Linked DNA regions of Coturnix japonica. The protein of the gene in region 1 interacts with the protein of each later gene in a biochemical or structural test. Links are inferred from orthologs where the notes say so. Each region holds a gene or a part of one and is shown in the gene's direction. Other genes may lie near its edges. The genes, in order: RAF1, RASD2, PEBP1 and RHEB.

Region 1 (7,441 bases):
TTGCAGGTGTTGTGTATGGTAGCGTTCCTTTGGAGGAGGAAAGCCTTTCGTCCATTTCCATGTCTTATTTTCATGTTTCAGCTTTAAAAATGTAAGACACCATTTTGAAAAATAGAATTTCCATAAATTTTTTTATATCCTAAGAAAATGATTTCTTACATCCGGGTTATTGGTTATCTATGGGCTCAAAACAAATATTGTGATGAGTAAGGAAGAGGTGGTTCTTATGATCTGCTCCTCCTTCACTTGTGATGATACAAACTAGACCAAAAAAACCCAGTTCCCACTCAGCTCTGTCACCTTGCAAAGTACAAGATGTTGCTTTTCAGTCTGATGGAGCAGATAATTTTACGCTGTATTTTCTTTGGGTAAGCTGTGCCCCAATTATTAGTGAGCTTTTCCAGGTTTCCAGCCGAACAAGAAATACACACAAGTTTCCTTGTGTAACTTTACGTTCAGTAACATTTTGAGGGCACTGATAATATTTTACCATTGTTTTTATTTATGTCAAGCTCTGAAGATGTTCATCCTGGCTAAGTAAGAGAATCTTGGATTAATCATTAAATGCATTTTCTAGGCTCGGAAGACGTTTCTAAAGCTTGCTTTCTGTGACATCTGCCAGAAGTTCCTCCTAAATGGGTTTCGGTGTCAGACGTGCGGTTATAAATTCCATGAGCACTGCAGCACTAAAGTTCCAACCATGTGCGTCGACTGGAGCAATATCAGGCAACTCTTGTAAGGACCATTCCTTTCTAATAGCAACAATTGTTCCCCGTGACAGACAACCATCTTGGGCTCTGGTTGTTTTCCTTTGTTCTTAAAATCTTACCATAGAGATGTATGTGGATCTTTGGGAGGTGTAGTGCTGTTCATCAGTTTACAGAACACGTGTATTGATTTCATGAAACAGCCAGCAATGACTGTCTGTTCCCAGGCGAAGAAGGCCGATCAAATGCATTTTGTTATTGCTGTGGATTTCAGTATTCTCAGACAAACCAACAAATGTACTGAATGATCAGGCAGGTGCTGTAATGCCCTTCTGATTCAGCATGGGAAGGCATCCTAATTCCTCTTTATTACAATACTTCAGTTAGAAGAAAAAGAATTGATGACTTAATCGATTTTTACCTGTTGGAAAGATGAATGTTTGTATCAGTGCTCTTGATAGGCCACTGAAAATGAATAGAAAGTTGAGAAAACTGATGAAGGGTAATACTTAAAAAATACTGATTAGAGAAAGTTGAAAATTGCTGTTAGAAGTTCTTGCATGCAAAACAGATGAAACCTGTGAATGTGTTTGTATCGTTATTAGTGACTGTATTATTTTTTTTTAATAACTGAACTTGGTCACGTAGGTGATGAGATGAGCAACCAGAATTTAGGATGATTGCATCACTTGATGCTACCAGAGTTTAATAGAAGTTAAATGTTAGTCTCATAGATCCTGTTGAGAAAGTCTGAAGTTTTGCAGAGTTGTTTCTGAAGTCTTAAGTTTAGTAAGAACACATGAAAATTCTCTGTGAGGATCTGATGATGCAGCTTTTAGTTGTACCATACAGAGAAAAAACGTTGTGGAAATACAGGAACTGGGGATGTGTTTGTGCCGAGCAACAGCCCTTCAGATCCTCAGTTTTAAGAGCATTGTACAGGAGGTAGTGTAGCAGTTGAAATTGTAATTGTTTTTGTTGATATTTCAGATTGTTCCCAAATTCAAATATCAGTGACAGTGGTGTCCCTGCACTACCTCCCTTGACAATGAGACGGATGCGGGAGTCTGTCTCCCGGATACCTGTTAGGTAAGCTAGTATTTCCTGTCATTTCTCTTTTGGGAAATACACTTGTTTAAAAAACAAAAAAAGCCACGCTCCCAACTCCTTGAAAATAGAAGAATATAGAAGGACATAAACGTGCAAGAAGGCAACAGCACTTCATCACAGAAAATACCTAGTGTCAATTCTTACAGCATCAAACAAAGCATCAACTGTGGAATTTATGTTTTTAAAGTTTAGTCTTAAGATTTTAAGTGAGGGTATTAAACGTTTTGTGGAGACCTTTGTTTACCTGCCTAAGAAGATTTGGTATTGTGTGAATTTTATTTCATCTGATCACGTAGCATACATGTAAGGCTTTATAGCTTATTTCTTGTGTGTGAGTCACATGCATTAACTAAAATAACGTCCTGCGTTATGGCTGTAGGGAAGAGATTAAAGAGAGCAGCAGAAATGGAAAATAGGCTCACGTTACAGAAAGTTCTGAGACCTGATTAGTAAGAACATCCCTGTAGTTTTACTGCTAGAATATAAATCGGTTTCTTTCCAAAGCAGCCTGTCTCTGATGATAATTTGTGCCTGTATTCTTTTCCTTGAAATCCTAGAGGCTGCAGAGGGCAGGCCAGGTTTTGTTTTTTCCACATCCCTTTGAAAAACGTTGACCTGTTCAGGAATGAGGCACAGAGCACGTAGCTGATTGCAAATGGTTCTATTTATTTATTTATTTGTTTGACTGGGAACTACATCAATAATTAATCTTACGTTCTCTTTGCCATGTTAGTCTGTTTCTAGTGTTACTGCGCAGTGACTTCCTGATTAGGTAGCTGGTTGTTTTTGTGAAGGCTGTCTGGTTTTGGTTGAGCTATTTGTGTTATTTGGGATAAGTGAGGTTTGATTAACGTTAGCTGTAATTTGTAATTCTTCCCTGAGCTGGATTTCACTGTTGGCCTCCTGACAGCTGTTGGGATTCATGACTTCCTTGCTGGCTGTTCTGTGTGAGAATTTGAACAGTCTTGCAAGCTTCAAAAACTCAGGGCTAAGCAATAAAAAAGTACCTTTCAGGCTGTTCACTTAATAAGCTTGAAATGAGAGGTTTAAATTTAACTGCCTGAATTAATTAATCCAACAGAGCCAGTAATTTATCAATATATTAAATGTGATTTAATGGGGACTGAGGCGAACTGTGGCACATTGCATAATGGCAGAAGTAGGCTTAAATGTGTTAGATCAGTATGCCAAGTTTTTCAGTTTATTTCCTAAGTTAAAGTGTGAGTGGTTTGGCTGACCAGATAGTTTAGTTAGCATGTAAATCCCAACGTTCCCCATGTGTGAAGTTTCATGTATATTCCTGCTTTTGGTAGATTACACTGAAGAGTATTTTCTTGACTGCTAGAGGAGGGGAAAAAAATAACCACAAGTTTCTCTCTTTCTTTCTTCTTAGCTCCCAGCACAGATATTCTACACCTCATGTCTTTACGTTCAACACATCAAATCCTTCCTCTGAGGGCACCCTTTCCCAAAGACAGCGATCTACTTCCACACCAAATGTCCACATGGTTAGCACTACAATGCCAGTCGACAGCCGGATAATTGAGGTAATATTGGTGAGGATGGATTATCATTCAGTTACACTGAATTTGTGACTATCTAATAGTCACTGGTTGGTGTTTTTTCTTTTTCTGTATTTCATGTACTCTTTTCCTTAACAGGCTGTGATAAGGATATATAGGTGGCACATCTGCCTGGAAAGTTAGTAGTTCATTCTTGCAATCTTTATCAACTTCACTAAAGTTCTAGGTAGATTTCAGTGTCTTTGAAGTCATGAGGGAGGCTTAATAAGTAAGTTCCACAGATCTGAAAAGGGAACAAGCTCAGCTTTTCGGAACATGTGTTACTTGAGATATTGCAAAATGTTCTTTGAAATTTACATTTTAGGATTGGGGCGGGGGGCTGATGGCTGTTTAAAATGAGGCAGGAGTTGTAAGTCTGGTTGCAGTTCTCAGAGCCTGAATGTTCAAGTGAAAGCTGACTGTAGCACAGTAGCACTATACCCTTATAGAACTGGTGGCTCATGGGAAAGCCACCTCTATCTGAAAATACTTCTGCTGTTACTTGATTGCAGTAATCCCTTTATTGTTTGTTTGTTTCCCTTAGCTTGGGTCCTTACACTGGAAACAGTGAGAGTTTTTGGAAGTAAGGGCTAGAGAATCCTGTTTGTTTGTGTAAGGGAGTGATTTGCAGGAAAGGCTTGCAGAAAGTAAGTGATGAGCAGCAGGATTTCAGAGAGCAATGTGTACTGCCCTCTGCCCCTCCTGAAATAAGTTTAAGAAGTCCTTGGCCAAACAAAATCCTTTGACTTCTGAGTTTACTGGCTTATTCCTTCAGCTGGTAGCCTGTAGGCTTCTATGAAATGTAAAGGCTCTCCTAAATGTGCCAGAGAATTGCTCTGCATCTTCAGTGAGGTGAAATGAAGTGCACTGCAACCCTGTGACCGTTATTTGATTAGAAGCATTGTGGTAGCTGGATTTTATGGGGAGAGGTACCTCCTTACAGGCTAAGATTGTCTGCTCCTGCCCCCCTACCACAGAGGTTTGAACTACTGTCTTCTATGGCAGAAAACCAAAATGAAGCCTTACAGAAAGAGAATATGAATTAATAAACTTGGTAGTGTGATAAGTGTTTGAGATATTTCTTTCCTTATTCTTAATGCATAGCAGTAGAGAAGGAAATGCTTTCTATTCTGCCTATCATAGTGCACTGAATAAAATAGCTGCCCTGGCTTAGAGGCAGTAGCTGCTTTTCCAGTAGGCTTTAAAAAAAGCAACCAGCAACACAGATAGCAAGTACATTAAGGGATGATATGAGAAAAGTCACCTCAGTAAGGTGATTAATCAGCCTGAATACTCGTGTAATGTTTTTCTTGAACAGGAATAGTTATTTATATATTCCCTGCACTTAATTATGATGTGCCAGACAACTTCGGTTACTTTTTCTTTCCTTTATCCTAACAATTCATTCTTAATTTTTTTTATACTTCCTCTTTCTGTTATCTCTTACCCTGTTGGCATAGAATAACAGCCTGAATGCTTCTCCCAGTTCCTGGTGCAGACGATTTTGTTTGAGGGGAAGAGTAGGTATTTTCTTGGTGCATTTTGTTTTCTTGTGATTAACAGAATTGCTGTAACTTGTAAGCCATGGCAGTGTCCACATGAAGTGTTTAATCTGGAGCTGATTTAATGAAAATCTTTATAGCATGTGTGTACATAAATATCGAGGACAACACCTGGAAGAGGCAAATTGATAGGGTTCATTTTTAGTTGAGATGGATAGAGCCGTACTGCTGTGATAATTGTTATGCACTTGAACAGGCTTGGATTAGAGATCTGCTTGGTCACACAGCTTTTGAGGTATAAAACATTCTCAGATACATCTCTTGTGTGACAGGTTCCCACTGGAAACTATTTTGTTAAATTTAACTGTGCAGAAGTGTAGATGAAGAATCTGATGTACTTCATATCAGAGCAAAGGTGGCAGACTGCAGCACTGCTGTGTAGTGTCATTTGTGTTGAAAAAAAAAAAAAACCAAAAAAAACCAAAACACTTTTTGGGGTGTATTTGCCATAGGATCAATAAGAAAAAGGAAAATATTATTCAAGCCAGAACTGAAGGTCAGCAAAGATACTTCCCCCCCCGCCCCCCCCCTCAGGTAACAATTCCTTAAGAATTAACTATGAGAGCAATTGATGATTATTTAGTGGTTCTTTACCAGCTTGCTTGAAAGAAATTACATTCTCAGGCCAGAGCAGAAAAACCACCACTTGTTATTAATGTAGATTCTGAAAAAGACTTTCAGTCCTCAGACCGGACAAAGGTAGTAATTTGTAGGAGTTCTCTGGTAGTTTATGTAGATTTTAATTCACTCAGGCATAGAGTAGAGGAGCTCTACAAGAATGTGCTATTTAGAATTCAAGCCTGGGAGAACACGGCTAACTGGCAACAATGATGTGTTCCATAAATGAATCATTAGTAAGGAAATTCTGGGCTAATTTGAAAGCCATACAGTGGAATATAGGCTTGTTCTGTCCTCCTATGAAGTCTTACATTTATTATTCTACTAATTAGTTAGAAAGTTTGAATTGACTTCTATTAACTTCTACAGTATTTAACATTTCTGTAGTGCATGTTCTTGCTTTGTACTTATACAGTACCTGGATATTTTACGTTTCCTGTTTGTACTTTGGGATAATGCATAGCAGGTGAGAAAAGTTGTATAGTCATGTTTGTCAGAGCTTAGTTTATCTTGTGCATGGCTGTAGAGTTGTGTTGTAAAGTGCCTGTGGCATGAGGTGAGAGTTGTCGCACTGTACCAAGTAGTGAGCTGTGTAAGAACGTGCTTTTCAACCATCATCAAACTTCTGTGGAAAACACTTGTTTTGAAATGGAGATGTTTTTGTGTTAGAGCAGAAGGTGTAGTCAATTATGTGTTGAAATACCTCTACCATGCTATTTCTAAATGCTTATTGACCTGGAATATTTCAGGGGATTTAAAGTTTTCCTATTTACAATCCAGAACCTTTTTAAGTAATTGTCCCCTGGAGACACAGGGCCATCACAGGAGTGTTCAGATCATACGAGCATGAACAGCAATGGAGGGGTGGGAACAGAGACAGTATTTCTCACGTTTATTCTTGTTCCATGTCTTCTCCCCCCTCTGTTGGTTTTTTTTTGGTAGTAATACCTTTCAATATGCTGTGAACATTTTTAATGTGCTGTAAGTATTTGCCAGTTGCATGGGTTGTTTTGGTTTTCTTTTGTCTTTTTTTCCTAAGTAAATAGGATTCTTGTAACTAGAAAATAACCAAGCTGCCATCTTTTAAAGGGACTTGGTCAGTAGTGTACAGCACTTGGTCTAAACTGTGAAGAACTATTTCAACACATTTATTTCTATTTGTTCATTTACATACTGTCATATACTTTATTAACTCTGTTGATATTTTCTCTGTTCTAGGATGCAATTCGAAACCATAGTGAATCAGGTATGGCTTCCAAAAATAAAGTATTATAATCATATTTTGTGTTTGTTTTATGGTTTGTAACTTCGTTTTCTTTTGCTTTCACACGTAAGCTTCACCCTCTGCTCTGTCTGGGAGTCCTAACAATATGAGCCCGACTGGCTGGTCTCAGCCCAAAACCCCAGTCCCAGCCCAGAGAGAGCGAGCACCCGGAACCAATACACAAGAAAAAAACAAAATTGTAAGTATTTTTGAACTACTGTATGTAAATACATCCAGTATGTTAAATTCTATGAAAATAATGGAGTGTTGGGGTAAATATTGTACTTCAAAGACAATGCAAGCTGGTGGAAATCTTCTTTGACTGCTCTGCACTGAGTGTGTCACAGTGATAGAAATCTAACTTGGGAATGGGAGCACTACTGCCTTATGCTTTAAGTACATGGAAGTTATTTGACTTTTTATAAGCGCAGTTGCTCAGTGAGGCTCCCAGTTATAAACTGTGGATGTTGGAAAATTCTGCTCTCGTATTTTTTGTTGATTGTTTTCAAATATGTTGGAGTGCTGGAATTTCATTATTGAGATTTTTTCTTTTTAATTTTTTAAAATATTTAAGGTACCTGCAAATAAATAAAGAATCCCTAATTACTCGTTATGATC
Region 2 (8,136 bases), on another chromosome or scaffold:
GGCTTTTCCTCCAGTAGAGACTGGGAGACTACATAACAAACCCTTAGTACTCACTGAGTATATACACCCTTCCATAGAAGGGCAACAAAGCTGGTGAAAAGTCTGGAGCACAAGCCTGATGGGGAGTGGATGAGGGAACTGGGATTGTTCAGTCAGGAGAAGAGAAGGCTCAGGTAAGATCTTACAGATCTCTACAGTGACCTCAAAGGAGGTCAGGGTCAACCTTCACTTCCAGGTAACAGTGATGAGACTTGCACCAGGGGTGGTTCAGGTTGGGTATTAGGAAAAAACTCTTCTCAGGAAGAGCGCGGTGCTGCAGTGGCACAGGCTGCCCAGGGAGGTGGTGCAGTCAACATCCCTGGAGGTGTTCCAGAGCCGTGTGGATGTGGCACTGAGGGACGTGGTCAGTGAGCACAGTGAAAGTTTTAAAAAGTTTCAACATTGGGATGAAAATGAAAGGATGCGTGCATATCTGGTGAGTAAATCCAGATGTGCTGTCTCCTCAGTGGTAAAAAGAAAAGAGAGAGCTCAGAAATGCAGTCCTTTCTCCATAATATTTCATGAAAATATAATTTAAAAATGATTCATAGCAAATGCAGCAAATCAGAGGTGATCTGGATGCTCTTCACTGCAAAGTAATGTTTTTCCATTTTGCAGGGATCTCAGTAAACATGATTAACCCATCTCACACCCTGGGACACTGAGAAATTACAGATTCATAAAGAAATGTGGATAGTTGCCCTTTGAAGAGAATAAGAAGACAAGCCAGATCACCATTTTCTCAAATGTGTGCCTTCTCCATCTGTATTCTCCCAAAATGAGCTGCTCTCACTCATAGATGATGATCATCACCTATTTGCCTGCACCCCATAACACCCCCTGGAGGAGCTTAAATGCCCAGGGAGTACCGGTAATTCAGGGGGCAGCACTGTGTTTGCTCATCTATGTGCTGTTCAGAGCATAATAACTACCTGCAGCTGAGTGGCTCCTGAACGCTAACTTTCCAGCATTGCTTGAATGGAGGGGCACCACGAAGGAGAAGTGAATGTAGGAGGGAGGGAGGGAAGGTGAGGGGGTGGAAAAACAAGCCTGCTTTACTGAATAATGAGGGGAGTGAAAATGAATGGGAAGAGAAAGAGAATAGCTGGTTTAAATATTTAATCTCTGTTGCATATGCTTTTGAAGAGGAGACAAAAGCCGTGGAACATCTTTTGTCTTGAACTAATTCTGACCAGAACTTAACAGCATGTGATTGTCACTTCTGTCGTTTTCCTTAAGGTGGAGAGAAATGCATTGGTCCTGCTGCATCAGCCCATTGTATCAGTCTTCATCTCCAGCTGCAGCTAGCATTGGGAGCTGCAGAAGGGACAAATGGCTCCAGATAGTGGCCCTTCTGCTGCACGAGTGTGCACTGCCCAAATGCTGATGCTGGCAAGTGCACCAAGCAAGCAGGCATAGCCTCTGGTAGTCATGGTGGTTCCTGCAGCCACAGCCTGCAATGCTCTGAGCCTGCATTAGTCACATGAGAAACTCAGCTTGGATTTCTTCATACATGGGATGAGCAGGAGGAATAAGTGCCTCCAGAGCATATTTCATTGTGTGTCTGACGTCTACATTAGTAAATAGCTACAAGCTCTAAGAAAGTTTGATGGTCTCCGATTAACCAGAGAAAACTGCTGAGATGGGGAACTTTTCCTCTTCTTCTTCTGCAACACTGCTTTGCTTATTCCCTTTTCATCCCAGAAAGCAGAGAGGTGCTGCCATCCCTGCTTCCCAGTGAGCAAGTACTGAGAATTAACCTTACTTCTCCACAAGGTACCCCAGGAAGCCATGAGAAAAACAGATTGAGCCCTAAGGGAAGCCTTGGCCTTTTGTAAACTGTTGAGCACACTCAGGGGGAAAAAAAAGAAAAAAAAAAAAAAGAAAAACAAAAACAAAAAAGGCAAAAAAAACTCAACAACAAAGCCACAGCAATATCAGTGAGCCTCTGAAGACTCATAGTCAGCAATTATCTTTTGGAGGCTTTCTTTAAAAGTAACATTACTAGCTATCTGCTGAGAGACCAAATAATGCCAAGATGCCTAGCTGAGAATGTTCCCTTCCTATTTTGATGTGCTTAGAGGAAACGGAATGGCCAGCTTAAATGCTGGAGAAGACAACTGAGTGGGAGTCTGGGCTTGGTGAAGGCAGCTAGGCAGGAGTTTTGCACTTGGTTTACAAAGATCTTGAGTAGGCTGAGATTCCAGGCTGATGAGATGGTCTCTACAATGACTACGCCTTTTTTTTTCTTTCTTTCTTTCTTTTTTTCTGGCAAAGAACTCCAGTTCTTGCAAGCTGTAGACATGAAAGAGGAGTATATTCTCTGTAGCAGTATAGGACTTGAATTCTATGCTAATTTTGTCATCAGCAATTCTTCCTGTGGCAATGACACCAGCATGCTGTTTACTTAGTTTGTATCTGAGACACAGATTGCAGTCCAGTCACCAAAGATGATACCTTTCAGTGAAGGTTTGATCTGAACCAATGACTTAGGAATGAAAAGCATCATATCTTATTTCTATGTGAGCTGTAAAAACGCTTATCAACTTTGTACCAAAGAGAAAAGACTCGTGTTGATAAAAAGAGTTGTGGTGTTGTGGTCTGAAAAGAGCTGAGTTCAGATCATGACCCACTAGCAGTTCACTGGCCCCTGGAAGAAGCCAGCAGTATTTTGGTGGTGCTGTGCCAAGTTGTGCTCTTCCTTCCCAAATGTGAAGCTGTCTGTACAAGGCAGAAGCCAGGAGCTACTGCTCCCCAAAAGAAAAGAACCTAAGGGATTCCACCAAAACGGCACACATTCTTGTGGGTATTCTTGAGGGGAAACATGATGAAGTTGGAGGATTATTTTCCTTAAAGAAGAGTAAATTTGCTCAAAGAGAAAGTGAGAGAAAATATTGAGAGACTTGAAACTACGAGTATATTTGGATTTGAGATACCTCCCTTCTGGGTTTGTTTTTTTTGCGTGTGTTTTTATTTTTTGTCAAAATATCTTGAAGATTTCAGTGCTTTTCTTCCTTTTATCCGATTCAAAGTTGTCAGTTGGCAATGCTGAAAGACTTCATTTTAACTCTTTTTAAATGATATATTTTTTTTCATCTTTTCTAATAGACGTTACAGTCTAAGCTATTACTTCAGCTCAATAAGGAGAAAAGCAGAGTTAGCAAACGATGAAATGAATTGCAAACACACTTCTTTAACAAGGGCAGAGCAAACTGCCTGAATTCAATCTAATTTTCCTTTATTTTCTGATTTGTCTGCCTCCCTACGGTGCTTGTTTAGCTCATTTAAATATTAATGAATTAACAGCAGTCACACATTACCCTTATTTCTTAATCAGACCAACCAGCAGTCCCAAGAGAATGATGCTGAGGGTGAGGGAACGGGAGACCGTATTCCATATGGCAAAAGAGTTACAGGAATTCTGGACAGAAAGCCCCTTCTCGGGAAATGAGTCAGTCCACTTCTGCCTTGCAGAAAATATCAGCGCTGAAGTATAGAAGCAGCCTTTAGAAACAGCTTCTGAATTGGTGGCTGGCAAAGTGAAGTCTCTGTCTCTCATACACATCCACTAACCCTCTCCCTACACATGAATGCATACAGGTCTCTGGTGGGAAGAAAAGGAATGCACAGCCTGGAATGCATATGGACTTTCTGTTCAGGAGGAAAATATATATATATAAAAGATTTTTCAACAGGCTCAAAATCCCACCCCCTCAGCACCCCTCCTTCCCCTGTGTCTGACACTGACTTCAAGGGAGGAGTTGAGCCAATTATCTGTGAGTCCTACAGAAGGGAAATCTGCAATTTGCCAGTAGTTGTGAGAGCCAGGGAGAGAAAGGCAGGGGGGTGGAAGGAGAAAAACTTAATTGGCAAATGTAAAGAAAAGCCCCTTCTGTCCTCGAAAGAGAATAGAACAATTCAAATCCCAGGTCAGAAGAAAAGAAGCTTGTGGGGAGGGGTGTGTGTGCAAGGCAAGACCTGAGGAAGCGTAGAGTCACGGTAGATAACTTCCATGCCCTCAGTGATTTTTTCCCATAGGGTCTGAGGTGGCATAGGGTGAATGAACCCCCAGCCCTGCAGGACTAGGTGTTGCTCCAGCAGAGTTGCCCAGAGGAGAGACTCTGCCTCTCCTCCTCACCTGAGGCTGGGAGCAGAAGAGCTCGTCTCACGAAAGGAAAAAGCTGCTGCTGGTCTGGAGACCCTTCTTTAGCCCTGATATAGTCATTGCCTTCCATGGGGGGACGTCCTCTGGAGCCCTGCAGTCCCTCCCAGTCCTGCTAAGTTCCCAGGAAATACCGGTGAAGAGCTGAGCCCTGAGCAAGCAACGTGGGATCCTCAGAACAACAGCCTTCTACAGCATAGCTGCTTCTGATTAAAATTACCAACTTCATCAGACTACACCCAAACCCGGGGCTGCTCCTCCAAGGAGAGAAAGGTAAGAGAGCAGCACGGAGTTTGGGATAGCAGTGGGAGACAAACATCCCAATGGAGTGATCTGAGTGTGCATGGGAACTGAGGGGTACTAGTGGTGACTAACAGGTGGCAGGTCTGTTATGCAGTTTGCATCTGCCTATGTTGTTTTCAGCTGGATGCAGTGAAGTACATTTGGATGGCAAATTGAAGCATCAAACTGTAGCTAAAGACAGTGGAGTGCAAGAAATGTGCTCTGGGAGTGTGTTCTTGAATGGGAAGCAGTGGGGAGGATAAGCAGATGTCACTGATGGGAGCCGGGATGCTTGGGTGGAAAAGCTGCTGGCAGGTTCAATGAGGAATGTCTTCCTTAGGTAGCTCTCTCCAGGTGCTCAGAACTAAACCTGGCAGCACCTCACTGGAATTTAGACAAGTGCTTTTCGGAGCGAGGAAAATCAGGTGCCTTGTCATTTGTTCTTATGTGCATCTTCAGAACAGGCAGCGGGGGGTCAGCAGGTAGAAGATGCGGGCAGTTCAATGAAACAAGGCTTGATGCTGATTTTGGACAGCTGTTTCATTTCTCTATTGGCATGCAAATCTTTCCCTTTATTAACTGGAGATAATACTCACTGCCTGTATTTCTGTGGCATTCTGAAATCCCTTCACCAATATAAAATACTAACGCAAAGTTTCTGCCATGGAGACAGTGCATAAAGAAAAAGGTACCACTGGGAATTAATCTATGCTTAAGCATTTAATAAACTGGAAGGAAAAGATGTAGATTAAAGCCAGCTGGAGGTTGTTTGCCTCCTCATTCTCTTCTGATTGATTTTGCTTTATTTAGTACATGAGCATGTGGCTCCTTTCTATTTCCTTTCCTCTGTCTTTAATCTTTTTCAATGTACGAGTCCCTGTGCTGGGAGCAAGGGCTGAAGTTTCTTTCCTTTTGTGAGGAGGAAAGAAGAAAGATTGCGCTGAATTGGAGAGAAGCTGAAGTGGTGGGATAAGGAGAGAGCACAAAAACAAACATAAGCTCCCGGCTCAACGGTATGCTCTGAGTCAGATTTGCAGCAGAGGTGATGAGATGAATAGAAACTCCAGGAATCAAAGAGCTGAAAAGCTCTGTTAGACTCCATGTGAAACAAAAAGCAGTCAGGAAAGCACAGGAGCCCTCTTAACTGAATGCCTGGACAGGCAGAATGAGGACAGCATTGAGTGACTATTTAATACATTAAAATCTGCATGTGCTTACAGCCCTTCCTCCTCAGTGCATGTGCATCTCTGGTGCAGAGCGTCCTGAAGTGCACGCACCTGCAGATAGGATTTTGTCTTTGATGGAGGTAGAAGGCAGCATGATTTAGTGGCCAAAGGTGCCACAGTGGCAGTTCCTCCTCCAAGGTGTTTGGGGTACTGTGGCATTAGAATCAAAGAACCTCTGAGGCTGGAAAAGACCTCTGGTCCTACAGTCAACTCATCACCACCATGACCACAAATTAGCTGAGGTCCAAGGCAGTGAAGTCCATGTCAAGGAGGAAGACAGAAGCACCTCTTGCCCTCAGGGTGCAAAACCAGCCCTCCGAGCAGCACAGAGCTCAGTGCTTACCTGTTAGAAAGCAGTACACATAGTAGGAGTCAGACAGGAGTGCAGCTATACCAGTCTCTCCCAGTCTGAGGAGCTGACTGATTTCTAAGCACTGAGCACAGGCTGTAGAGAAGTTGGTGTTTTTTTCTCATAAAATCTATCTCCCTGCTTTTCTCTGTCAGCTAAATATAGCCTGAGAGGTCGAAAGGAAGTATCCCAGAGCTGTTCTGTTGACATTCATCTGGCCTGTGGATTCATGACAGCATTGGACTGGCCATGTAGGATAGAGCCACTGCACGTGGAAGCGTTGTTTCAGATTAAATTTGGTGTTTCTGCGATGCTGGAGATGGGTCCTATTCTAAACAAAGCAGTTCGATCCAAAACAGGCGTGCTCCTTGCTGTCATTTCAGCAGCACCATATCTGTGAGTGTGTGTGTTTACATCCAAAGTTATAATCGGACATTACTGTCTGCCTCTAATATTGTGCAGCCCTGACCTCTGTGTGTAATTTAGACCATAAGATACTTCAAGGAAAGTGCTGCATTTTCTTCCATGCTTTATATAGGGATAAACGCGCTGCTAGCAAATGATAGCAATAATCATAAATAGTCATGTTTTGCTGTTGCCTCAGGCTATAGCACTTGTAATGATTCTGGATTAGAATTCCAGAGACTCCTTTATTTAGCAGTGGCCGTATCTTCACTTCTGCTTTGGTGCTTTGCACATGTTAAACAAAGTCAAAGATTTTAAGCTCTTGACTGAGATAAGTGTCAGCTGCATAAACGCTTGGGAGATAAAATACACTCGAGGGAAAGGCAGGAATCCAGATCTGAACCCAGAGATGATATTTCAGTGTACATAAAGTGCTCAAATTGTAATATTAAGTAAACAACACCTAAGTTAAATAAACGGCACAGTGGGAACTTGATTATTCTTTAATAAGATCCTAGTAACCAAAATAAACTCTGCCCAAAATGTGCTTTCTTAGCTTTAACATTAGCTCTCCCCACACTGGGGTTGTATTTTTCCTTTCAGTACACTATGTATTTGAAATAGCACACGTAAAAACGTCTGTGCGACCCTCCTTTTTATTTCCCCATCAAAGTTTCCCGTATCTGAGTACTGCATCTAAATATGATCTCCAAGGTCTTGAGACACATTTTTTCTTGTCAGGGGTTGGAAATCTTGTCAGATAGTAATTTAAGATGGCTGTCCTTTGTTCTTTCTCTTCTTGTACTTAAATGCTCAATGATTGTGACACTCACAACATCTGTGTACGTATAAAGATTGAAACTCCTAAGAAATCTTCATTACTGCAACTCTATCCATTGACAGTCGTCCTACTGCAAGGCAGTGATAATTGCAGCACTGATAGTTTCTTGGTAGGGAGTTCCCACACTGTCAGTCCAAGCAGCTAGATGAAATTCTGGTTTCTGAAAGGTCACAGAAGGCGCAGAATTTATCACTACTCAATGCTATTTTGTGTCTTGAATTCCTCGTGTCAGCAATGTAGGCTATACAGGACCAGCTATTTAAAATAACTGAGATGTCTAGCTTCCACAGATGTCAAACGTGATTCGGGCTTCTGTCTGACTTTTGGTTGATCTCAGAAAATGAATGCTGTGAGCAGTTCCTATTTAGGCAACCAAATGAAGTGGTCTAGGTCCTGACGACAGCTGCAGTGGATACAGTACATTAGGAAATTTGATGGTAACCTCAGTGGGTGCAATATATTAGGAAATCTGACCTCTGTGTTTATGCATCTAAAACAGAACCAGAACTGAAAAATCTGGTAATGTCTAAGTGACGCAAATGATGGGAAGGAACCTGGTGTCCAAGTTCAAACGCAGCTGATAAAATTAGCCCTTAATGCTTAAACAAAATAGCAAATTACAATTAAGAACCATGCTATATTCAGTGTAAACATCAGAGTACTCTTTGACCAACTAATGGTATGGAATGTCCCTGCTCTGTCCTCCACACAGTTTCTTACCTTTCCTTCAACTTTGCCATTCCCTCATTCAGGTCCAAGCAATGATGAAGACCATGTCCAGTGGAAACTGCACCCTGAATGTGCCAGCCAAGAACTCGTACCGCATGGTGGT
Region 3 (8,215 bases), on another chromosome or scaffold:
ACCAACTTACTTATCTCCACAGAGCATGCGGGCTCCTCTTGCTCGACAACGTGGCTCCCGACACACTTGAACACTTTGCGGTGGGAGAGGTGAGAGCTGTTCAGTGTTTCCACGTGGGTGTCTGAGGAGCTCGTAGAGCTGATGAGCCAGCTGGAGTTCTCCAGATCGTGCCCCTCTTCTCTCCAGTGCAGGGTGGGGTGGGGATGCCCCCCGGGCCAGCTGCAAAACAGCTGCAGCATCAGCCCTGAGGAGGAGGTCTCAGCCCAGCACTTCGGGGTGGACCGTGGTGGATCTATCAGCAAGAAGGGCACAGAGTTAGAAACAGATCTGAGTCACCTGGTGTCCCGGGCTGGAACCTCAGCAAAAGCTTGGTTTTGCAATCATTCTCCTTGAAGGTCTCCATGGTTTCCCTGCCTGTGTTTCTCCCTGACCTGTGCACCACTGCCTCAGGGGAGCATAACTGAACGACAGCCAACAGGGACAAAGCAGGAGGCTGCTCTGCAGAAAGTATCACAGCAACCACTAGAATACAGGGGAAGGACAAATTTCTGCCACAGCTTTATCTGATGCAGAACAGCTGTCACTGCAGTGTGGGGTCACACTGCCTCACTCAGCCCCTTGCTGTGCTACGTTCACATCACAGCCCAGCGGTGGGGACAAACTCCATGAAAAGGAAGGTGGGTAAAGCACTGCTGGGTTCAGGCCAGGGCCAATCACCAGGTAACCAGGACTGCGTTTGTTATTTAAATACAGAAACAACTAACGGCAGGATGGGGCAAAAACCCATAGAAACACAAGAGCAGTCCCCTCGGGCAGAGCAGAGCTCACATTTCATGCAGCTCCAGTTCATGGCTCTCCCCCATCATCTGGTTTCTGGGGCTGCCCAAGAGTACGACTTTGGTGGAGAAGCTGTAGCATATACACACCCATACACAGATACACACACGTGTTCTTTTAACAGCCAGAGGGATTCTGGACTCTGATCCAGGCAGAAGTAACACATAGTGTCCCTGCACTAATTGCCTGCTACAGTGCTCAACAAGACCTTACTGAGAGATGCTGCTACAGAAAGCCCCAACGAAGAGGTGTCAGAGGGACGAGTTATGCTTATTTTGTAAAGCATTTTTCAAGTCACGGGAGAAATCACATAATTTGGATTAAAGGGCAAAAAAAAAACACGGCAAAAACCCATGTGAGCTGCAATAATACCTTCTCGAGGCTTGGCTTCCCAGGAACAATATACATGCACCTTTTATGATCTCTGAAAACAGCCAACTGTGGCTCTCTATGGCACAAATTGCTCCTATGGCCAACAGAGAGCGTGAAAGAAAATGAGTATTTACTTCTAATGTTATGCTGATAAGCTCCAACTTCTAGCCTGTGCTGATGTTGCTTCTACTGACCTTAAGCATCACTAGAAACCTCTCTTCAACCTGCTTAAAGAGACCCCAGTAGTACATACCACCTTTGTGACCTTTAACTGACAAGTCACACATTAACAAACCCATTTCAGAGAGTGGTACCAATGCTTGGCATGTCCACAGAAGATCACAAAGAAGAGCCTTAGCATAAAGAAGCCTTCAGACATCAATTAGAGAATGTTCAGATAGGAGACTGGGAAATGCTGGTGATGGCTTTTGCTCACGAGCATTTTGCTTTGCTGCTCTAGATTTAAGGCTCCTCTTTCTAAGCTCCAAGCCCACAGATTCTCTATAGTAGCCTAAGGTTTGATTCCTTCAGTCCAGCCCCCATGAGCCTCCAACCCCATCTGCAGGTTTCTCGCCCCAGGAAGGGAATTTTCACCTGTGTGAACGTTCAGAGATTTAATCTGTACAGAACAGGTACAACTTTTACAACACATACCCGTCAACAAGCTCCGACAAAGAAGCAACACCCTGAATGCAAACAGAACACAGGCATCACTCTGCAAATGTTGACAGAAAGATCAGCAAGAAAAAGAAAGACCTGGTAAAGCACAGATTGGCAACGAAGCAGAACTGGCAGCAGCCTTTCGCTCTTCCAAAACCCTATGGTTGGCACGGAGGACAGCAGGTCATAGCCCAGGTCTGAAGGCCTATGAAGACTTCTAAGAGAATGGATAAGGAATGGAAATGGGACTCATGCAACCCAAGGGCAGAAATTCAGTCATGGGACAGACTTACTGGCTACCAGGAGCTGAACTCTGTGCTCGTGGTCTGTCTTGTTCAGCACTTCCTTACACGTGTAGTTGCCCTCATCCTGCAGCCGCAGCTCCGAGATGCGCAGGGAGCTGTTGTCCACCAGCGAGAAGCGAATGTCTGGGGGGAAGGCGACCCTCGAGGAGAAGAGTGGGGGAAAAGAGTGCGGGTCCCCTTGGAACCACAGCACCTCAGTGGCCTCCTTGGAGACATTGCGGCACAAGAGGAGGATGCTGCCTCCCACCTTCCCAAAGACTACTTCTGCTGTTCCTGCAAAACAGAAGGGAGAGCGTTAGGGATGCGGGAATACATGGAGCCCTTTTCCTCAAGCTCGTCAAGTCCTCTGTCCAAGTGGAACCCAGTGCAGAGAGGGCCTTTTTGAGTCCAGCCCTGCTGGAGGTGGATGGGGATTAAGAAGGGAAAGGTGATTTAGGAAGCAAACCGCTCGTATTCCTGCCGTGCCTCCCGCTGCCATAGCGCTGCACTGAGGTACCTCATGCCGCCCCTCAGCCCGTACCTGCAGCGCTGCGGAGCGGCACCTGCGCCCACCCCCAGAGCGCGAGCAGCAGCCCGGCCCGCACCGACCCGCCGCCGAACCGCATCGCCGTCCGCCTCCACCGGCGCCTCCCGCTGGGGCCGGACCCGCCCGGGGGCGGTGACGACCCGCCCTCCTCCCTCACCTCCCGCTCGGGTTCCCGGTCGCCGCCCCGCTGAGGGGACACCCCGGGGGCCGCCCGCCGCCATCTTGGCCGCCCCCCGCCGCCATTTTGAGCGCCCCCGGCCGCTGCCGCCATGTTGGGCGCCCCTCCGCTGCTTTACGACCATCTTAAACCACCTCCGGCATCGCACAACGAGGAAAGCGGGCCGGGCCGGCTCGGGGGGAGGAATCGGCTTTATGTGGAGCCGAGCAGTTGCTGCCTGTGCCAGAAATAAGGCAGTTCTCTGCAGGGCCAAGGCCGAGAGCTGCTCGGGGCGATCGGCGCAGCGCCCGCTGGCAGCCACAGCCCACGTTTACAGCTCGTCTTGGGACACTGTGTATCGTCGGGGATTAACAGCCGTGTGCCAGCTGTGTGCTATAAACTTTATTATCCCTAAGCACCGGCCAATGCCCTCAAGGCCGCCCGCCCCGGGGCAGCGCAACGCACCGCCACCACTTGGGGGCGCCATAACGATGGGAGCCAATGGGAGCGGAGCGCGGCGTCGCCGTAGCCAATAGGAGCGGGGCGGGGAAGGCGGGACGAAGGGCTGAGGTGATCGCGCGGCGCGGCCGTCACGCAGCGGGACGCGGTGTGAGGAGGAGCCGCCATGCCGGTGGATGTGGGGCTGTGGGACGGGCCGCTCAGCCTGAGCGAGGTGGAGCAGAAACCTGCGCAGCCGCTGCGCGTTAAGTATGGCCCCGTGGAGATAGACGAGCTGGGCAAGGTGCTCACCCCCACACAGGTGAGGTGGGGGGTGAGGGGGCCGCTCAAGATGGCGGGGGGCGGCAGCGGAGCCTTCGGGGCTGTGGTGAGGGTGGAGCGGGCCGTGAGGTGACGCTGTGGGCCCTGCAGGTGCAGCGCCGACCCACCAGCATCGAGTGGGATGGATGCGACCCGCAGAAGCTGTACACCCTGGTGCTCACCGACCCCGATGCGCCCAGTAGGAAGGATCCGAAGTTCAGGTAACGGCGTTTGGTAATTTCCTGTCTTACCTGCGGGGAACCGGTCGTTGCTTTTGGACCGAGCGGCTCGGCAGGAGGTGGGAAACGTGCTCTGCCCTCGGATCTCTTGTATAGACCTGGGCAGCGGCTGCTTATACAGTTTCTGCCAGGGCGTTGAAGGGCTCCTGTAGGTGGTAGTGGCACAGATTTGCAGCTCGTGGTATGTGCAGGAGTTGGAATTAGGTCTGTCAGCGCAGTGTGGGAGCAGCTCGCCCTCAGCTTGGGCTCAGGAGCACACGCAGTGCTCACTTACCAGGCTTGGAGGTGGGTGCTGGTGCTACAAGGCAGGATGGAGCTGCCCGATAGGCTCCGAGTCCTGCAGCAGGCACTGAGCTCCCAGTCCTCGTTGGGTTTAATGAATTAGAAATGGCAGTGGTTAGCTTTGGTTATCCTGCACTGACAGCAGCAGAAGGTCGTGCCTGGGGGTTGTAGTGCAGCTTTATTGTTAGTTTTTTAACCTTCTTTCAGGGAATGGCATCACTTCCTGGTGACCAACATGAAAGGTAACAATGTGGGGAGCGGGACCGTGCTGTCAGACTACGTGGGCTCGGGCCCCCCTAAAGGAACAGGTGGGTGCCTGCATGCATCAGTCCCAGTGCCTCGGGCCTGTGGTGGTGTGGGTGGGTGAATGTGGGCTGGGAGGGAGGACACAGTGCTGCAGAAATGGTTCACGGGCCTGCCTGCACCTACATGCAAGCCTGGTCAGGACTTAGCAGCACCACCCCTTCTGTATTTGCTGAGGGGCTGCACCTGCATTCAATAGCCAGGAGGAGTGCAGGTGTGGCACGAGCCATTCTGGTGCCTCAAGATGTCTCCTTTAAGCTCGTTTAGCTCAGTCAGACTTATCCTGTATTGGCTGCCAGCAGCCCTTGGGTGGGCACAGGTTTCTTTCCTGAGCTGGGGTCACTGCAGCCCCAGAAGGTGCACTTGTAATGCTGTCTCATCCCTGCAGGGCTGCACCGCTACGTGTGGCTGGTGTACGAGCAGCCGAAGCAGCTGACCTGCGATGAGCCCATCCTGTCCAATCGCTCTGGCGACAAGCGAGGGAAGTTCAAGGTAGCTGCTTTCCGCAGCAAGTATGGGCTGGGGGTGCCGGTGGCTGGCACTTGCTACCAGGCAGAGTGGGATGACTACGTGCCGAAACTCTATGAGCAGCTGTCTGGGAAGTAGGGAGAAGGGGCCTGACCAAGCACTGTGCTGCACCCTCCATTCCCCTAAGCATTTCTCTGTAGTTTTGTTTGCCTGGTGAGCTGAGAACCCAGCTGCTCCTGCACCGACAACTTGAGCTGTAACCTGAACCGTATCCCCAACTATCTCTGTGAAGTGAATCTGCTTTGGTGTCAGAGCGGTCTGGCTGTGCGTTGTGCTTCAGCTGACTGCTGGAGGTACAAGCCACAGCTGGCTCAATCAGCTTCTGAAAAGCTGGTGCTGCAAGAGCTGCCCCCAGGGCTGCCCTGCCCAAGGGAAGTCCTAAGCCTTTGTGACTCAGTACCACTTCAGTGTGTCTCTACTGTGTTAAAATGGTGTTGAGCAGCAGTGTGGGTACAGAACCACTTCTGGCTGCGGAGCCTTCTCTTTCCAGGAGGGGAGAAGGCAGCAGTCTGTAAAGGGAAACTGCATTTTTTCCTCTCCTGCAAGTATTCGGCCAGTGCCTCCGCTAAAGTGAACCACTAATTAGTAGAAAGAGGCATTGATGCTGGTTTATAGCACTACTTTCTGATCTCTGTTGCCATTCAAAGCTGAGAGGCTTTGCTTTGCTCGACTTGTGTTGTGATCTGGTGTTTGCTCACAGTGCAATTAAACACTTTGCAAGGTGGATGGACGGTGTGGTTGTCTTCTTGGAGGGGAGTAAGGAGGGGAACACTTACGGGAGCAGCGTGATGTAGCAGGGCTCCACTCCTGGTGTTACAGACTTGAAGGTGCATCCCAACCCTGCTGCAGGGTTGCACTTGTGTTGCTGCGAGGCCTGGTGTTGTTTCCTAAGCATTTCAGGCAGGAAACAAAGCAGGACTCAAGGCTTGATTTTAACAAAAAACGAAGCCAACGTGACTGCTTCACAGGACCAGAAGCCTTCCTCCTGTCAGTTGTTTCACCATCTCCAAGGAGCTGTTTTTTAAGGGGTGTGAAAAACATACATGAGTTACAAACCTCAACACCTTGCAGAAATCCAGGTTTCTTCACACTTGGCCCCCAGGGCAGCCTTCCCAACTCATCACTGAAGCTCCATACCTGGAAGGCAGTGGGACCTCCACCATGGTGCCAGCTGGTGGCACAAGCAGAACAGGGACAGTGCTAACACTGCTGGGACAGCTCCGAGGCTCCTGGAAAGGAAGTGTCTCAGGAACACCCCAACTAAACACAGCAGGATAGACAACAAGACAGCAGAGGGTGCAGACCCTGAGAACTTGGACTGAAGAAGGGCATAAGATAAAGAGGTGAGCATCAATCTGAGTCCGCCCCCCTCCCACAGCCACGAGCCACTCCTCCCCCAATGAGACAGCGAGGCACTGTGATGAACACTTTTATTTACAAATATAATTAAAAGCTCTGACAGTTACTCATGCTCTTCCTTTGAACCTGAAAAACATCTTCTTGGTGGTGGTGGTGATGGTGGGAGGGGGGGGAGGTTGTTTTTTTTGCTGTTTTCTTGTCTTCGTTGCTTTTTTTTGTCATTTTTCTTTTTCTTTTTTTTAAAGTGCATGCAAAAGAAGTAAAGCCTTTTTTTTATATATAATTTTCTTTTTTTTCATTTTTTATCTTTTTTTTTTCTTTTTTTTTCTCTTTTTATTGTAAGAAAATACACAGTTTGAAAGTGTGAGGAATGCGGAATTAATGACTGAACTCATGGGAGGCCGGAGGGGGAAGTTAGGAGGGGGGGGGGGTAAGGAACAGAAAGGTTAGAAAATAAAATGGAACCACCCCCCCCATCAACCCCAAAAAGAAAAGAGAGAGAAAAGCAAGGAGTGGGGATGGTGTGACAGTGCTGAACTGCAGGGACTGAAAGCGAAGGGGTTGGAAAGGAGGAGGGACGGAAAGGAGTAAAAAAATTTTCTGATCAGAGAAAACAGTTAAAATACAATATGAAAATAAGTCAAAGCTCTCCTTAAATTCCTTCTATACACAAAATACACGATTTGACAAAGCCCAATTTTGTGCTACCAGGATCGCGTGGGCTCTTTGTTTTAAGTGTAGTCAACATCCTCTGCGACAGCAGAAAATGGTTCTGATACAATCAAGAGTTGGCCGAGGGACGGGGGGGCTGCCCCGCCTGGCACGGCGCTCCTACAAAGCACCGGGTCTCTGCCCACCCCCCACCCCCACCCAAGCAATAACATCCCACCACTGCTATGTACAGCACGACTCACGGTTGGTTGGGGTTTGGGGGGGGAAGGATGAGGGGGGGTTGTTTGTTTTTTTGTCTTCCTGTAAAACGTATCAAATAAATTTTTTTTTTGTTTTTTTTTTTTTCCTGTTTTTTTTTTTTGTTTTTTTTCAATCTTTAATAAAACTTTTTATTATTATTATTTATTTATTATTAATTATTATTAATTTCATTATTCCTGATGAATAAATACCCCCAAAAAAATAAGAATAAAATAAAAGTTATGCAGCAGCTGGTTCAAGGTAAGGCTGCGGATTTCGTCTCTCTCCCCCTGGGTTTGTATCTATCACTTCTCTTTTTTTGCTTGTACCTTTCAGAGGTCGGTGGATAAAACCCACGTCATTGATTGCTCCAAAAGCAACAAACATCCACATGGGGGCGGATCGGTCTTGTTTTCTCTTTGCTTTCTCTCCATTCAAATCGTCTCCAAAAGTTTGTTTTTTGTTTTGTTTTTTTTATCAACTGAAACATTTCTTTTTGTTTTTAATCATTGCACAGAGACATCGAGACTGTGACGTACTATGGGAAAGACTGCCAGGAGCCGCCCGCCACCGGGACGTGACACAGGGGGAAAGGGGACCCCTGATGGAGTAAGAATATACAGGCACTGGTCCGACACGATGTCAGTAAGAGAGACAGAAAGAGAGAGAGAGCACGCCCGTTAACATGGGGAATGTTGGTTTTTGCGAGTTTTGTAACTATTCTGTTTGCTTTTTTTTTTTTTGTCTGCTTTTGTTTTTAATGGCAAAGAAATTTCGTCTCATCTATAGTCCTCCTTGGGATAATCTAATGTGACCAAATTCCCAAAGCCCATTCGTAAGCTCTCCATGTCAAACGTTTCAATCTCTCGCTCCTGCCTTTCCAATAGAAACTTGATCCTCTCGCTGCGTTCCTTCTGGAGGGCGGCGAGCTCCTCTTCAATCTGCAAGAAGCACAGGCAGCACAGCCCCTCAGCAG
Region 4 (7,952 bases), on another chromosome or scaffold:
TACGTTAGGTTTGAGCCACTGATAGATGCTTTTTTTCCCCTCACATTATATTTAGCGCAAAGTCTTTTGGCCCTATTCCATCCAGACAGCGTTGTGCCTGTCTGCATAAATTAGCATGCAGGAAGCCAGAATGAATTTGCAGTTTTCAAACAAGCGTGCAAAGAGTCCCTTGTTTTAACATTATTACAAGTGCCCTGTGTGTGTTATGGACACAGAGCTAGAAGAACCATGGACAGCTGTTTCCTCAGCACCTCAAGCTTTCATCTAGGACGCTTCCCTTTCATGTAGCTCGCTAGGGAAGAACAGACTACATCTATATGTAGTGGTATCTATGGTATCTATAGAACTGAGAGCTCAGCAGTGTTGCCCCAAATTCCCTTTCTTAACACAGGTGTGACGATGTTTGCTATTGACCTGCTGCTGTGGATGTGTTTAAGTACAAGGAAAAGCCTTCATAGAACTATGCTTGCCATTATTCTTTTAATGAAGCTCAGCCCCTCGGTATTATGCACTATCTGGTGATGCCGTGAGCTCATTACTTTGGCAAATCGTCCTTTGCTGACACAGATTGTTTGGCTGATAAAAACACTTTCATGTCGTTTTACTTCTGGATTCCTTTCAGTTCAAAGATCTGAGGTCTGTAAGCCTTGCAGACGGTATTTGCTGTTTACTAGCAACTGAATTGCAACTGTTGAGTCTGAGTCTCTATTCATCGCCAGTCCTACGGAGTAATGCTCCGCTGGGAATGTTTGGGTAATGCAGAAAGAACCAACGTTGCTTTCCAAGGCTCGAGTTCTTGTCCTCCCAGCAGGCGAAGACTTTGACTGAAGCAGTTCCAAAACTGCTTAGAGAACACGCTTTGCCATCTTTCATCTCAGTTCAGGGTAAGCTGGAGTCATTCGGTTTCGGTCCAAGCAGAGGTGAAACCATGCGTGCTTAATCCTGCTGAACAACAGGGGCTGTCCGTGCCCAGCTCTCAGGAGCAGCCAGTTTGCTTCAGAACCTTCACACCTCCCACATTTAATGTTTGCTAAGGGTAACCTACAGGAGAAAATATCATTCTGAATAGCTTCATAGTACCCTTGGATCCACATCACGTGCGTTATGCAAAACAAGAATGTTCTGCAGACGATGCTTTTGTCAGTATTTCTAAGCAGACATTAGAGAAAGATGATCTTTGTCGAATCCATGAGGGGCCAGGGACAAGTGTGGGATGGAACTGAGTGTACTTTCTAACCTCAGTGGGCAGCCATACATATGGGAGCACACCCAGTGCTAACATTGGGTGCAGTTCAAATAGCTCCTCCAGTAGGTGCTGGTTGGCCAGAGGATCGAGCAGGTAATTAAAGTGCTAATTGCTTTTATAGGAACTGAATGTACAAGCCAGATGTGTTTTGCATTTGGAACTTGAGTAGCGCTGTGTCCATGGGTTCGTATGCACTGAATTGCCATAAAAACATTGAACTGCTGGGTTACGTTTCCTAGAGGAAATTCATCGCAGACACAGGCAACAAAAGGCCGATGCTTTCCCATTTCTCAGCCTCAACATCTGTTCCTGATCTCAGTGTATATACACGCTCTATTTGTGCCGGCACTCTTTGTTTTGGAACCCAGACCATTGCATTCGTTGACCGCATCTGTTGGGATGTCGTTTATAATAAAACGATTATAACTCACCAACGATTGGTTGTACTGGTGTCAGTCACTCATTGCAGCGTTCTCTGAACTCCTTTGTAGCTCACAGGGTAAAACACTCTAGGAATGAAGATGCTGGATTAGCACTGGGGAGGGGCAAAGGGGAAGCCCTATTGCTAATGCTGCTGCTGGGAAGCCACAACCTCAGCACGGCAGGAAAGCACTAAGACTTATCCCAAGTAGAAGTGCTATGATACAGGTTACTTAGCCATGGAGATCCTGTAACTCACAGGGTTATAGGGCAGGAGATCCCGTAATCCACAGGGTTATAGGGCAGGAGATCCCGTAACCCACAGGGTTGTAGGGCAGGAGATCCCGTAACCCACAGGGTTATAGGGCAGGTGGGATGGGGTCTCTGGGCGGCCTGATCTGGGGGCTGAGGTACCATTTGTGAACCATGGCAGGGCATTGCAGCTGGGTGATCTCCATGAAGCCTATAAGATGGTCCCATGGCACTAGTAGAGGTTCATGTTGAGGTTAGGACTAACTCCTTCCTGTGGAGGACAGTCACACTGAGGTGATCCCGCCCCGCTCAGCCCCTCACACCCCACAACCCAACCGCCGTCTGGAGGCGCACCACGGCGCACGCGCGGCTTTTAACCCCCATCCAACCAATCCCCTCCCACGCATCCCCTTAGCCCCGCCTCCTTTCTTTGAAAACCGATCTCATCCAATCCCCGCCCTCTAACCGCGAGCAACTGCCCAATCAGCGCCCGGCGGGGCGTGAGGTGGGCCGGCATGACGCAGCGGGTTTGTGCAGCCGGCAGTCGGCGCGGTGTTGGCGGTGGGGGCGGTCGGTCGGTCCGTGCTGCGCTGCGGCCTGTGACGCGTGACGCACCGCTACGTGAGGGGACGGGCGCTGCCGCCGCGGGTTCCGCGCTCTCGGCCCATCGATCGCCGCCGCCCTCCAACCCCCCCCCCCCCCCCCCCCCCCCCCCATAACAACAACCAGCGCCGCATGAGGCTGACGGCGCACACGCAGCCTCCCGCCGCCCTCCGCCTCTTCTTCGTCCGCCTCCTCCCTTGATGTGGTTCGTGGCCGGGCGGGGGACAAGATGCCGCCGTCCAAATCCCGTAAGATCGCGATCCTGGGCTACAGGAGCGTAGGTGAGTGTTAAGGGGGGGGAGACGAAATGGGAACGGGTGGGTGGGTGGGTGGCAGGTGCAGGGCTGGGCCGGGCCCCGCGCAGTGCGGCCGGGAGGCGCCATGGCGGCGCCGCAGAGCGCTGCGGGCCCGGGAGCCAACGTGAGACTGTGCCCTTAATTGGACAGGGGACGGCACCGGGACGGGGGGGGGGAACAGCGGGGTGTACGGAGCTTTGTGCCCGTTTCCTCTGTCTGTAGACGTGTAGGATGAACGTACGGAGCGCTGCGGTGCCGGGATCGGGAGTGACTGAGTGGTGCGGTCGATACGGTGGAGGGAACGGGTGACATTCAGAGGGACCTCGACAGGCTGGAAAGCTGGGCTCGGGGGTTATGTTGAACCTAATGAGGTTCAACACTGTTTTGCAGTTGGGCAGGAAGAACCCCAGGCACCTGTACAGGCTGGGAGGAGTTGTCCTTGAGAGCAGCTCGGCAGAGAAGGACCTGGGGGTCCTGATGGACGAGAGACTCAACATGAGCCAGCAGTGCGCTCTGGCAGCCCGGAAAGCAAATGGGATCCTGGGCTCCATCAGGAGAGGGGTGGTCAGCAGGGATAGGGAGGTGATCGTCCCTCTCTACTCGGCTCTTGTGAGGCTCCATCTGTTGTACTGTGTCCAGGTGTGGAGCCCTCAGTACAAAAAAGACATGGGAGATTTTGGAAAGGGTCCAGAGGAGGGACAGGAAGATGATCAGGGGGCTGGAGCACCTCCCCTATGAGGACAGGCTGAGGGAGTTGGGTTTGTTCAGCCTGGAGAAGAGAAGGTTGCGGGGTGACCTCATTGCAGCCTTTCAATACCTGAAGGGAACTTACACCCAGGAGGGGAGTAAACTCTTGGAAAGGGCTGACAATAGCAGGACACGGGGAAATGGTTTTAAGTTAAAAGAGGGAAGATTTAGGTTGGATGTTAGGGGGAAGTTCTTCACTAGGAGAGTGGTTAGGCCATGGAACAGGCTGCCCAGGGAGGTTGTGGATGCCCCGTCCTGGGAGGTGTTCAAGACCAGGTTGGACGGGGCCCTGGGCAACCTGATCTAGTAAAGGTGTATGTTTGGTGGCCCTGCCAGGCAGGGGGGTTGGAACTACATGATCCTTGAGGTCCCTTCCAACCCGGGTCATTCTGTGATTCTGTGATCGTACGGCAACACTGAAGGAAAGAACTTCCCGGCGCCATCCAAGCCGGGAGCTGCTCTACAGCCCCACCAGATTCAGCGTCGTGGGGCACGAATGGAGCGGTGCGGCTCGGCATCGATCTGACTTAAAAGCGTAGATCGATGGGAAGGATAACGAGTGGCTGGGAAATAAACTGCTGTAGGAAGGTGCCGCTGTGCTGCTGAAGGGTTTGTGCTGTGAGTGGTGTGTCTGCGGTCGCACACTCAGCATCCGTAACAACGCCTTTTGCTTTTCCCAAGATTAAAAAAGGTTACATGAGTTGTTTAGATGCTGTGTGTGTAGCAGCAGCCTGGCTTCAAGGCTGGATAAACAGTGCTGTGTCTGTATGGTGCTGGAAGGGAGCAGCCTGCAGGAGGTTGGTGGTTCACATGGGGTGTCTAATACGGCACAGTCAGCCTCGGAGCTTGTCTCCTTATGTTTTCTTCTCCGAGTCCGGACTCAAACAAGCACTGGGCAGTGTGTGTGGGTAGGAGGAACGCTGTCAATTCAGTACATTGGATGGTCCAGGGGTAGATGATCCATTGAGCCTGACAGCACACATTGCACATAGCCATTATTAATGCCATTGCTGGTGTGACCCAGGATGATTTGGTGCTTGTATAGAAGGAGGTGAGCAGAAAGTTGCCTCCTGCCCATTAGGGTTTACTACTGTGCTCCTTCACCTGCAGCTTCATGAGACTGATGTGGTTTGGGGCTCTGTGGGACATGGTCTGTTCCATTAGGACAACTGCTTGTTGTAGACATACAGAAGAGAAGTAATAGTTTGCCTTTCATTAACCATGACAACTCTGTTGCCTTGCTTGTTCTTAGGTATAAATCTTGCATGTTTAAGCCACAGAGTTAAGTATGGGAGCTTTACGTTTCTAGGCAAATATTTACATAAAAGATCCAGCAATAGACGTGAGCTGTTGGGTGTTCTGTCATGTAGGGCTGTCAGATAAACAAGAAACATAGAGCATGACATGAAGTCAACCCAAGGATGCCTTGCAAAGTCCAGGAGAATTAACAGCATGGTTTGGCTTCAGATAGACTTATAGGTAAGTCTGATATCACGATGGCATGAATTCCACTTGAACCCTGGGTAAAAGACAGGATCCCATCCCAGATGAAATAAGGGATGTTACATTTGAACAGAGCTAGTTTTTGTCGGGGTGGGGGATAATTAATTCCAAGATCTGAAGGGCTGCTGAAGGCTTCTGAGCTTCCTTTTATAAATAGGGAACTGCCATTAACCTTAACGTTAGCTTTGACCCTGCAGTCTGGGAGGCTGCTCTGTTACACCGTGAAATGTTTCCAGCTCTGTGCCTTGAGTGAATGCTGAGGTGACCTGGGCTGTGGGGTTGGGTGATCTTATCATTTGCATATACAGCATGAGATTAGAAAATGGCGACCTTTTCTCCATTCTCTTTCAGTTCTGTGCTGAAACAACCGAGCTGACACGTTTCGGGCCGTGAGCTGTTCCCTGCAGCTGATGATTCGACAGCTTTGTGGCTCTCTCAGGCTCTGAGCACGCACGGTGTCAGGCAGCCACGTGCCCCACGAGGCTTTATGAGGCACGAGTCTGAGTGTATTGCTGGCTAAGCCCTTGCTTTTACCTTGTATGAAACCATACCCTTAACCCAGCAATGCCTGGGAGTGCTGTTCTCATGGCTGTTCCTATAGAAGGTTCAGGAGCCTGCTTGTTTCAATCCACTCCCTCTTATCTTTCAACACTGCCATCAGCCTTTCCTGTGTGAACGCAGCGTGTTCTGCTGTGGGAGTGATCCCAGCAGCCCACGGCCTGGGGCAGGGAGATGTGGAGGAGCATTGCCAGGAACCTGAGGACCTGTTAGTGGGGAAGGCCAATAGTTTGCATGTATGTGGCATGAAGCTAAACAGCAACCACACAGGAACGTTATCTTTGAGTGTTGCTTGTGCTTGAATGGATCTAAAAAGCAAGTTACGTTGCGTTATGTAATCGTGCTTGTTCTCCTTAAGGTTCTGATAGAAATCAGATGGATTTTTAGCTTAAAATTCGGTAGCTTGCTAATGGGAGGGATTTGAGTGCTGCTGTCAGTGAAGTGACCAGAGCATTCCAGCAGAAGGCTGCCCTGTGTGTGATGGAGCGTGTGATTTCATAAAGTTATAAAACAAAGCCTTCACTAAAAGGAATCATCACGTTGCCCTCATTGTGTCCTGCTCGTAATTCATTATTTCCATGTACGTTTGGGGTCTGTGCATATGATTCAGCCAACACTAAGGTATGGGTGTCTGGGTGGTCGCTGGTTCTTCAGATCAGTGTCCGCTCTGAAAAGCAGAGCGGGGTTGGCCCATCTTGGAGGGCTCAGGACCAGGTTAAATGGGCTCTGAGTAACCTGTTCTGGTGGGGGCAGCTCTGCCCATGGTGGGCATTCAGACTGGATGGGCATTGAGGTCCCCTCCAGCCCAACCATTCTGTGATGTCAGGTGAGCAGGGAGTTGCCCCTTGGATCAGGTGTTTCAGTACCAGGCTGTTATCTCAACATCATTTGTGTTTTTGCAGCTGCTGGTGTTTAGGAACATGCAGACAGGTGAGCTGGGAGTGCTCCCTGCTCAGTTTGGAGTCAGGTTGGTTCACCTGTGTACCTTTCAGCTTCCTATGCTGTGTAGGTGGAAAGCGGCCCATGCTGAACTTCTCAGACAGAAACGGTGGTCTGTGATTGCAGTAGGCAAGTAGCAAAACAACTGGAGCTGAACTGAATCACCTGCCGTATCTCTAATATGGGCTTGTAGTTATTGGCAGTATTTCCTGGCTTTGAGAGCGAGAGTTACTTGAATACTGGGCTTGTGTTATGAAATGGGGCTGAAGCTTTGCTGTCTCTTGTGAAGGATGGCCTCGTAGCACAGCACCCTGTGAGGGGTCCTTCTGTCCCCGGGTGATGTGGGAGGCAGCACACAGCCCTTGTGGCCGTCTGGTGGGAAGGGATGAAGAAATGGGCGCTGTGGCACGACGCAGTTCAGTGTGCAGGATCAGCACTGTCTGCGATGCAGGGAATTGTGAGGCTGAGCAGGAAGATGGAGCAGGTCGGGATGCAGCCTGTGGTGGCGGTTTGTGCTGAGCTGTAGGCAGCAGCCCTTCCTAATGCTTCCCTCCTTACAGCTGCAGCAGCATTGCTGGCTGGAGCAGCTCTCATTGCATTCCAGGGCGCGGGACTGTGCTGCTGTGCTCTGCAGTGATCTGATGGCAGTGGCTGGGAGCGCAGGAACGGCAGCAGCGGGGTTATGTGAGGACATTGCTCTGGTCTTAACTCTTTGTTTGCCTGCTCTGCTTTCTTCTAATGGCAACACTCACAGGCTTTGCTGGGCAATTGGAGCGTTTTGCCACTTGATTACTCAACTGAGACTTACTGTTGGCAGGGGAAACCAAACAAAACGTGGATCCTGCCATTTCTAAGCTATGAAAAGCCGAAGCTCTGCATTTAGATCCATTGCACCGCTCTAAGCACAGGCTCTGGGGAGACAGGAATCCCTGTGGTATGTTCTGCCTAATGTGACCACACACCCAGGCTGGGGGTAGCAGCCTAAGGCAGGGTAACCCAAAGGCTGTGCTCAACCTCCTGCAGATCCTGAAGGTGACATTCAGGGGGTGTATTACAGAACCTGTTCGTATTAACCCTGTGTTTGGTCCAGAATCTCAGCAGCTTCTCTGTGGGATCCTCATCCAGCTGCTTTGCAGAGCAACCTTTGGGTGTCTTATAGAACATCCACTGCTTGGAAATGTCCATCGATTCCTCGTTTAGATGTAGGTGTTGCTCAGCACTCCTGCGGCTTAGGAGTGATTCAGAAGTCCTTAACCTGTTCGGATGAGCGTGCTCTTCCTCAATTCACCATATGGAATTACATCTGTGTACATGCAAATGTTCGATGCCATGTGGAGGATGTTGCGTGAGGGTGGTGCAAAGGGGTAGATAAATGGATGCTGTGAGTC

The links.
Region 2: the proteins of RAF1 (region 1) and RASD2 form a complex in vitro, tested with the Homo sapiens proteins (2 studies listed by BioGRID). The link is inferred for Coturnix japonica from reciprocal best matches to the Homo sapiens genes RAF1 and RASD2.
Region 3: the proteins of RAF1 (region 1) and PEBP1 form a complex in vitro, tested with the Homo sapiens proteins (3 studies listed by BioGRID and IntAct, with this or other methods). The link is inferred for Coturnix japonica from reciprocal best matches to the Homo sapiens genes RAF1 and PEBP1.
Region 4: the proteins of RAF1 (region 1) and RHEB form a complex in vitro, tested with the Homo sapiens proteins (3 studies listed by BioGRID and IntAct). The link is inferred for Coturnix japonica from reciprocal best matches to the Homo sapiens genes RAF1 and RHEB.

The regions. Positions count from the first base shown.
Region 1 is NC_029527.1:3,328,832-3,336,272, reverse strand, and holds part of RAF1 (RAF proto-oncogene serine/threonine-protein kinase), read left to right. Parts: intron 1-479; exon of another isoform or gene 480-577; coding exon 578-735; exon of another isoform or gene 736-1,128; intron 1,129-1,697; coding exon 1,698-1,796; intron 1,797-3,210; coding exon 3,211-3,364; intron 3,365-4,839; coding exon 4,840-4,899; intron 4,900-6,777; coding exon 6,778-6,805; intron 6,806-6,894; coding exon 6,895-7,022; intron 7,023-7,441. UniProt on the Homo sapiens protein: Serine/threonine-protein kinase that acts as a regulatory link between the membrane-associated Ras GTPases and the MAPK/ERK cascade, and this critical regulatory link functions as a switch determining cell fate decisions including proliferation, differentiation, apoptosis, survival and oncogenic transformation.
Region 2 is NC_029516.1:47,548,347-47,556,482, reverse strand, and holds the start of RASD2 (GTP-binding protein Rhes), read left to right. Parts: upstream 1-3,792; 5' UTR 3,793-4,474; intron 4,475-8,056; 5' UTR 8,057-8,065; coding exon 8,066-8,136. UniProt on the Homo sapiens protein: GTPase signaling protein that binds to and hydrolyzes GTP. Regulates signaling pathways involving G-proteins-coupled receptor and heterotrimeric proteins such as GNB1, GNB2 and GNB3.
Region 3 is NC_029530.1:8,782,505-8,790,719, reverse strand, and holds PEBP1 (phosphatidylethanolamine-binding protein 1), read left to right. Parts: upstream 1-3,406; 5' UTR 3,407-3,482; coding exon 3,483-3,617; intron 3,618-3,727; coding exon 3,728-3,837; intron 3,838-4,344; coding exon 4,345-4,445; intron 4,446-4,828; coding exon 4,829-5,046; 3' UTR 5,047-5,694; downstream 5,695-8,215. Other genes in the region: TAOK3 (serine/threonine-protein kinase TAO3), read right to left, coding at 8,019-8,180.
Region 4 is NC_029517.1:5,597,084-5,605,035, reverse strand, and holds the start of RHEB (GTP-binding protein Rheb), read left to right. Parts: upstream 1-2,460; 5' UTR 2,461-2,750; coding exon 2,751-2,802; intron 2,803-7,952. UniProt on the Homo sapiens protein: Small GTPase that acts as an allosteric activator of the canonical mTORC1 complex, an evolutionarily conserved central nutrient sensor that stimulates anabolic reactions and macromolecule biosynthesis to promote cellular biomass generation and growth.